Oryzias latipes: one gene and its partner. The protein of the gene in region 1 purifies or fractionates together with the protein of each later gene. This does not show direct contact. Links are inferred from orthologs where the notes say so. Each region holds a gene or a part of one and is shown on either strand. Other genes may lie near its edges.

Evidence for each region. Proteins that work in one complex are often made in the same cells at the same time.
Region 2: the proteins of ubiquitin carboxyl-terminal hydrolase 22 (region 1) and taf5l purify together in Homo sapiens (affinity purification with mass spectrometry; 3 studies listed by BioGRID and IntAct, with this or other methods). This does not show direct contact. The link is inferred for Oryzias latipes from reciprocal best matches to the Homo sapiens genes USP22 and TAF5L.

What each region holds. Positions count from the first base shown.
Region 1 is NC_019866.2:10,853,391-10,856,890, reverse strand, and holds part of ubiquitin carboxyl-terminal hydrolase 22, read left to right. Parts: intron 1-559; coding exon 560-731; intron 732-1,049; coding exon 1,050-1,152; intron 1,153-2,218; coding exon 2,219-2,377; intron 2,378-3,127; coding exon 3,128-3,254; intron 3,255-3,500. UniProt on the Homo sapiens protein: Deubiquitinase that plays a role in several cellular processes including transcriptional regulation, cell cycle progression or innate immunity.
Region 2 is NC_019859.2:2,094,608-2,098,853, forward strand, and holds the start of taf5l (TAF5-like RNA polymerase II p300/CBP-associated factor-associated factor 65 kDa subunit 5L), read left to right. Parts: upstream 1-1,446; 5' UTR 1,447-1,633; intron 1,634-1,987; 5' UTR 1,988-1,990; coding exon 1,991-2,129; intron 2,130-2,218; coding exon 2,219-2,326; intron 2,327-3,184; coding exon 3,185-3,945; intron 3,946-4,246. Other genes in the region: nuclear pore complex protein Nup133, read right to left, coding at 342-469. UniProt on the Homo sapiens protein: Functions as a component of the PCAF complex. The PCAF complex is capable of efficiently acetylating histones in a nucleosomal context. The PCAF complex could be considered as the human version of the yeast SAGA complex.

The DNA.
Region 1 (3,500 bases):
TATATATATATTTTTTACATTTTATAATCTTTTTTTTTATGGGTTTTCTGTCATTTTCATGTACAAAGGTCAGCCTACACTGCTAAAGGATGGGCATGCTTGTAATAGCTGTCAGTACATCTGCAATAGCTGTATACAATCAAACCAGATGGACACATCTAGGGTTTGAAAGACAGGAACCCAATCTTTAATCAGTAGTTCACGTAGACTTCTTCCCTGTACTGCAGCTCAGCTTTGCTAACGTTCCCGCCCACATCGTGTCACCCTGACATAAACTGTCACTTTCTTCGATTCTCATGGCAACCTTTTGCTGCAATTAGCAGATGGATTGCTTGCCTCAAGGCCTCCCCTATTCCATGTCTGTGTTGCATTAGCTCACTGTGGCATTATTGTCATTGCATCCAGTTCTGTTAACTGAAGAGCTGGATTTGATATCTTTCTGGCTCCCCCTTCTATTATTGGTGAACAAATAACTATAGGTCAAAGTAAGCTAGCAATGCTGATGTTATAACACAAAAATAATATTTAAAGTGATAACCGTCTGTTCATTCTTGTTCAGTTCTACTCGGGCCACCGTTCACCTCACATTCCCTTCCGGCTGCTGCATCTGGTGTGGACTCACGCACGCCACCTCGCAGGCTACGAGCAGCAAGATGCCCACGAGTTCCTCATCGCGGCATTAGACGTCCTACACAGACACTGCAAAGGAGACACCATCAGTAAGATCTCATGTACATCAAATCGCTTCTCATACCTTGCGCAACTTGAAGCGCTTTAACATTTAAAACAAAAACAACAAAACAGACAATCCTACCATAAAAACCAAACTCACTCTTCCCACTCCTCTGCGTTAACACTTACGTCACATGACCCACACACACATACTGAAATGTTTATGTTTGCTAAGGAACTAGCTAGCTCCTGACGGCGATCAGGCGTGTAAAAAGGAGTCATCTAGCACAAAATCCAAGACCGACATGGTCACACATCCGCAGACCTGAAGAGAGACTGATTTGTTTGTATCTTTTTTTTTTTTTCTTCCCCCCCAGATGACAATGGAAAAAAGGCCAACAATCCAAATCACTGTAACTGCATCATTGACCAAATCTTCACTGGGGGCCTGCAATCAGACGTCACTTGTCAAGTTTGCCAGTAAGTGTTGGGTTTGCGTGAGAAGAGCGCAACATCACATCCAATTTCTCCTCCCCATTCATCCTAAAGGAGCCTCACAAACGCCTTCTAGATTTTCTTACATTAATTATTCATCCATCCGCATGTGTCTGTTGTCCTCCTGCGCTTGCCTCGCACCAGCGAGGCTGATCAATGTGGATGCTGCCCATCCCTCCCTTTGCGTTGTGTGAATGGCTCGTGTCCTCTTCACTGCTCTTATTCAAAGGCCCGATCCCTGCAGAGCTGCTTTAATGGAGGTTGTCTAGACAGCAGCACGATTCAAGTGTTGTCTGTCTGCCCCCTAGAGCTGTCCTGTCGCATTAACACATTCACGCTGCACTGAACTGCAAAGTACCTCGCCCAGAGTAGCAGCCAAGCTGGGCCCGGCTTAGAGCAATCTTACCTGTACCGACAGTAGAAGGGTGTTACTGGTGTAGATTTATGCGGCAAATACAATCCTTTAATTTTCCTGAAAGGCCTTGTTGACTACAGATAAGTGGGTACCAACAGAAGCTATGAGGTTGTTGAACAGCGGAGCTCAATAGTCGCACACAGTGACTTCCACATCACCATAAATGCAGACCAGTTTGACTTGCTGGCCTCTGGGTTTTACAGAATCATGACTCATTCAATCGATAATGACAATGTGAAGCAGCTCCTCCTGGTGCAGAGAACATGATCGTTTGTTCTCTCTGCATTCTCCACCGAAAGCATCCCTTCTGTAATGTTGTCACTCATTGTCATCAAGCTGTAAGAATACATATTCATTTTTATAAAGCCAATTGTCCCTGATGTAATCCTTTATGGAATTGCACATTGGTATGCAAAAGTGCTCCAATTATGCACGTGCACACTTCCCACCGCTCAGCAAGCTGGAAGAAAAACACGATCAGAGTCTGTTGTGGCCGTTTGTGTTGCTGCAGATGTCATCAGCCTTTCATCATGACCTGTAATCAGTGATACACACAGCATTAATTAAACATAAACGACTAATCTCTCTCTTTGCCTCCCCTTTTCACTTTCCCCCCCCCCCTTTTCATTTCCTAAGTGGGGTTTCTACAACAATAGATCCATTTTGGGACATCAGTCTGGATTTGCCGGGATCATCAACACCTTTCTGGCCCCTTAGCCCTGGAGGGGACAGCGGCACGGTAAATGGGGAGGGCCACCTGTCAGGATCCACCACCCTCACAGACTGTCTGCGCAGGTACAGCGGATCTCTCTAATGTTTTCATCTGCTTTTTTATTTTATTTTGTTTTCAGCATTAAGCGCTAGACACCAGTGTTGTTTGCAGGGAGCCCGATCATATTCCATGATAAACCTTCGACTGTTCTTTCAAGCCATTTCAGTGAAAGGGAAACAAATTGAATTTGTGGGTTTGTTTGGTGTAATCTCACACACAACAAGCTGCTTCAACCTTATCTTCTCCGATAACCACGCTGACGGAGCAGGTGCGACCTCTCAAATCTCCTCCACTGCCTCCTCTTCTGCCATTTCTATTTCACTTCTCCTAATTTTATTTGATTCCCCCTCTCTCCACCTCATTCCAATTTTCCCTGTTCTCTCTGGCTCCACTTCTCACATTTGTCTTCCCCAATCTTTTTTTTATTTATTTATTTTTTTTTTACAACTGCAGCTCAACACACCCCACTTGCTGCAGCAAGTCTCTTAAAGGTACAGAGCAGGCTGCTGCTGTTGCCACGGTGATTAAGGCTACTGCGATAAAAGCCGGGATTTAGGATGCTAAGCTAAAATTGACTTAAAACCTGTAGGTTGTCTTTATTATACAAGTCCCCATATGTTTTCAGATTATCTTCACATGGGATTTAACATTGACATTTGGGATTACACAGGTGTTAAAAATGGCAGTGAACACCACTCATCCTCTGCTTTTTCCAGTTTGCTGCCATTCAGTTTCTAAACGCTTGTTTTCTATTTAACTCTCCTGCTTTCCAGATTCACAAGACCTGAGCATCTCGGAAGCAGTGCCAAAATCAAATGCGGTGGTTGCCATAGCTACCAGGAGTCTACCAAACAGTTAACGATGAAGAAGCTCCCCATCGTAGCATGTTTCCATCTTAAAGTGAGTCACTTGCCATCAATTAAGATTTTACTTTTCACTCTGTTTTAAAATAAACAGTCATGTGGCTCAAGATTTATCGACTTTTTAATGTTTTTTTTATTTATTTTTTTAGTTTTTATCCGTCATGCTTTAGCCGATGCTGCATCGACTTTGCTGTGAGCTACTCTGAATGTGCCAGGAGGCGTTATTGACTGGCTTTAGTTGTTGGATTGCGTTTGACTGTGATGTTTTTATGTACTGTCCCAG
Region 2 (4,246 bases), on another chromosome or scaffold:
AAACATTTGCTAAAAGTCTTGAATAATTCTGACATGTTTTCCATTCATTTAAAATCAGAAAAAACACACATTTCGGGGGTGACAAAAGAAAAAGAACAAGCATAAATCCTCTGATGGAATCTAAAGTTTTGATGCCCAGTGACTGAAATATCTGAAATAACGAACTTAATGAGTCAGAAATGTCAAATTGTGAATTTCCCCCCACCTGTGCGTCTCCTCTGTAGCAGTAAACTGTGTTTAAGTGTTTGAATCCGGGTCAATTGAACTAAATTACTATATGAAATGTAAAATCAAAAGCCGGGTTTCAAGCAGAATGCCGTTTCTTCGGACAGTCCACTCACCTCGCCGACAGAGGCGTCCTGCGCGGGGAGAACAGCAGGCTGTTGGCCGGCCCAGAGAGGCTCTTCCTCCCGGGGGTTCGGCCCTGCGGCCGGCGACCGGAACCTGGAACAGTTCTGGGGCTAAACATACTTTGTGCCCCCCTGACAGCCCAAAAGCTCCGAAACTGTATTACTAGTTTGTCTCCAAAGCTATTAACGCGATAAAAGAGCAAAAAACAGAAACTGAATCCCTCGAACCAAACACCGCGCGGTACAGTCGCGTGAATAATACGTCATTATAGTCCCGCCCACATATGTATTTTTTTTCAAACTTTATTGAATGTAAAAATTCAATACAAAACAATGTTAAACAGTGAACAACAACAACGAAGGAACAAGCCAGGGGGTTAATACATTTTATGCATATATATTGAAATTAACACACAGATCTAATGTTTTGATGGCGTTCTTATTATCAGAGTTTCTTATTGTCTTAATGTATTGTTTGAACTCATTGATAAAGATTGAGAAATGAGGGGTATGATTCGTAAATTTTGACTTATGAATGTGCCATTTGCATAAAAACAACAAAAGGTTAATGAAGTACAACTGTTCTTTTTTATGAGATGGACAGTGGGTGATGCCAAACATAACATTTTCTAAGTACAGGCGAAAGTCTGGGTCAATGTGGGCGGAAATGAAATGACAAACTTTAGACCAAGAAGTAGTGGAGAAGGGACATGACCAAAATAAATGTACAGCATCTTCAGGGTGTTCTTGACAAAAAGAGCAGGCAACATCAATATCTTCTTTGAACCTTTGCAGATATAGTTTGGTTGGATAGAATTTATGGATTAGTTTGAATGAGATTTCTTTCACTTTATTGGTTAAAAAGTATTTTGCCCACATATGTATATTCTGAAACCACAAAAAAAAAATATATATATATTTATATATATTTTAATTAAAGGTAGAGAACAAGATTGTTGCAAATCAGAGCCTGAAGTTAAAGGGAATCATATAATAGTAACCTTTGTAGAAGGTTGACTTTAAAAACAAGAATTTAGAAACAAGATCCATGTATCTTCGATTTATTAGTTTGTCACCGCCAGGCAGAAGCAATGGAGCGAAGATACATAGCGGCTAGCTAGTTTAGCATTTCGGATGCAAGAACGGGGAGAAGATAGGCGGGTATCCACGATGGGGCGCCACTGTAATTCAGCGGCGTAGTTTTGGCGGACCAACGGCAAACGGGAACACCGGACCATCGTTAAAGAATTATCTGCTCACGGAACGGGACAAAAAGATATGCAGTGAGTAGCATTTTTAGCTGTTAGTGACGAAAAAGCCCGTCACTATTAAGAGCCACCTACTGGCTAATGCTAAATTGACCGGCTAGCTCAGTTTTTTAGTGCAATCCTCCAGAGTAACCACCGGATTATTTAGTCTTTATGCTTCCGATTTTTTAAAACCAAGATCAGAATTTTCAGTCAGTTCTCACGAATTTAAATATTGATTTGGTAAATATTTAGCCACTGGAACTGTTGGGGGCTTTGCTGCTGTAAATAAACATCATCTTCCACAAAAACTGACTCTCAAGTCCCTCATCATTTTATAATTGACTGGATTAAAACAAATATCCCAAAAGTTGTTTGTGGACTTTTCAGGCCATGAAGAGGGTCCGGACTGAGCAGATCCAGTACGCTGTGACCCAGTACCTGAAGAGGCGGCAGTATGTGGACACCGACGGCTCTTTGAAAGGAGCCAAACTGTCTCAGTCTCCAGAGGAGATGGCTGCCAGCCTGACAGGTGAGCTTTCTGCCCTGGTGCAGCTGGAGTTGTGTGAAACATTGAAACGGATCCTTGACTGTCTTTCTGTTCTCTGTCTGATCTGTAAGCAGTGAAAACAGAGTCTGGCTGTGGGAACGTGGTCTCTGCAGCTCCCTGCCAGTCTGACCCACAGCAGTATGAGGCGCAGTTCTCTAGGCTGCACTCCTTTCTATCAGGTATGCATGTGTGGAGTTTTTCCACTGTCAGTCCAGAGATTTTCAGGATTCAAACATAATTAAAAAGTAATTTTCTGGTGTCTTAATGCCGGACGTCAAAAATAGTCCTGCTGCTTATACAGACAATAGGTTTATTTACAAGTTCAGAGCTTTATTTTTAAGGGTAATTTAGTCACAGATAAAATGTCTGGTTTACAAAATTAGGATATTGACGCCTAAAAATATAAAAATTTACGCTTTAAAAAAACTTTCCAAAGCTATTTGTTAGTGTGTGTTGTTGATGTCTGTGATGATTGGGTCTGATGTCTACCACCGTTGTGTTGATTGGTGGGTCTTCAGCTTCCACAGCAAAGCAGTTCTTGATAGAGTTCCATTACTAAGTTATTATTATTTCGCTGACGAGACTGTGTGAGAAAATTGACAGTTACAAACTGATAAGTTGAAGATGTGTGCGGTGCTGCAAATACTGACAAAAGCTGACATGAGGTCTCTAAAGTGTCTCGCTGGGTTACAATTTCTCACACGCGTGAGGTGAAGGTGCTTTTTCTAATAGGAAACATTTCTCACAGCCACTGAGACCCCTGTTTGTTTCATGAAAACATTGTTAAATTGTTTAAATATTTGCTTATTAAAACTTCAATTATCGAATTCAACAAAAAACACACAGGAGTTGATGACTAAAAAGGCCGTTTGGCATAAAATAGTTACGTTTTTCAAAGGGCATGATCCAAACAGCAGGCCTTGCCTCATAAATGTAGAACCACTGAAAAAGGAAAATAAACAGACACAAAAAAATCAGATCACAGAAAGTTTAGTTTTTGAAAAAAATGTCCTGACAAAGTTGTCTCCCTTCTACAGAAACAGAAATATCTTGGGCTCGGGAGGTGAGCGGCATCCTCTATCCGCTCTTTGTTTACCTCCACTTGGATATGGTGCGGTGTGGCCTGAAGGGGGCGGTAGACGGGTTTTACACTCGATTCCATGAAGCCTTTCTTCAGGACGGCGAGCAGCGCGCCGTCATCGAGCAGCTCCGCCATGTTCTCACTGCTCAGGACGTTGCAGCCAACCCCAAACTCCGAGCTTTCCTGGAGCACAAGTATACTGTTCACCTGACAGAGCCGGCCTACAACTACCTGCTGCGCTACCTGCAGAGCGAGGACAACAGCGCCCTCTGCAGGGTGTTTAGCACACACCTGCAGGTGGATGTGGCAGCATTGAGACGCACAGACTATCAGCTTTATGGAGCAGCTGGGGGCTCAGCTACGGCGCCAAACTCCACCACATCGTGGGCGGGGGTGGATGGAGGAGAGGCTGCAGACGGGGTGGAGGTCCCTGTGGGGATCCCACAGAGCGAAGCGGCCTTGGAGGCTCTGCAGGACTGCATCAAGAAAGTCCGCGAAGGCCCGCCCACTCTCACCACCATCTGTTTCTACGCCTTCCACCACACGGAGCAGATGCTGAACACAGCAGAGGTGTCGCCGGACAGCCGGCTGCTGTCCGCGGGCTTTGATCACTCCGCCGTCAAACTGTGGAGCCTCAGAGCGAGGAAGCTGAAGGCCACGCCGCATCAGGTGGACGTGTCGCGCATCCACCTGGCATGTGACGTGCTGGAGGAGGACGTGAGTTAAGCTTTCCTTGTTCTTTGTCATGTCGGATCATCCGTACATCAAGGAGAACTAAGAGCACAAAAATGTTTCTATTTAGTCCAATTCTTTCCTTTTTGCAGCCGTTTTATAGTCCTTAAGTCTAGATCCTAAATACTTCAAATGTAATTGCTGCTGCTAGAAGACATTAATTCTTATTTCAACCAGCTGGTGGTAAACAATGCTCAGTGCAGTCTTTCATGCAAAAGAGGGGAGGTCAGCTTTTATTTTGAAAGCGGAAAGAAAAACTCAATTTTTCTCAGCATTAGTTGAAGGA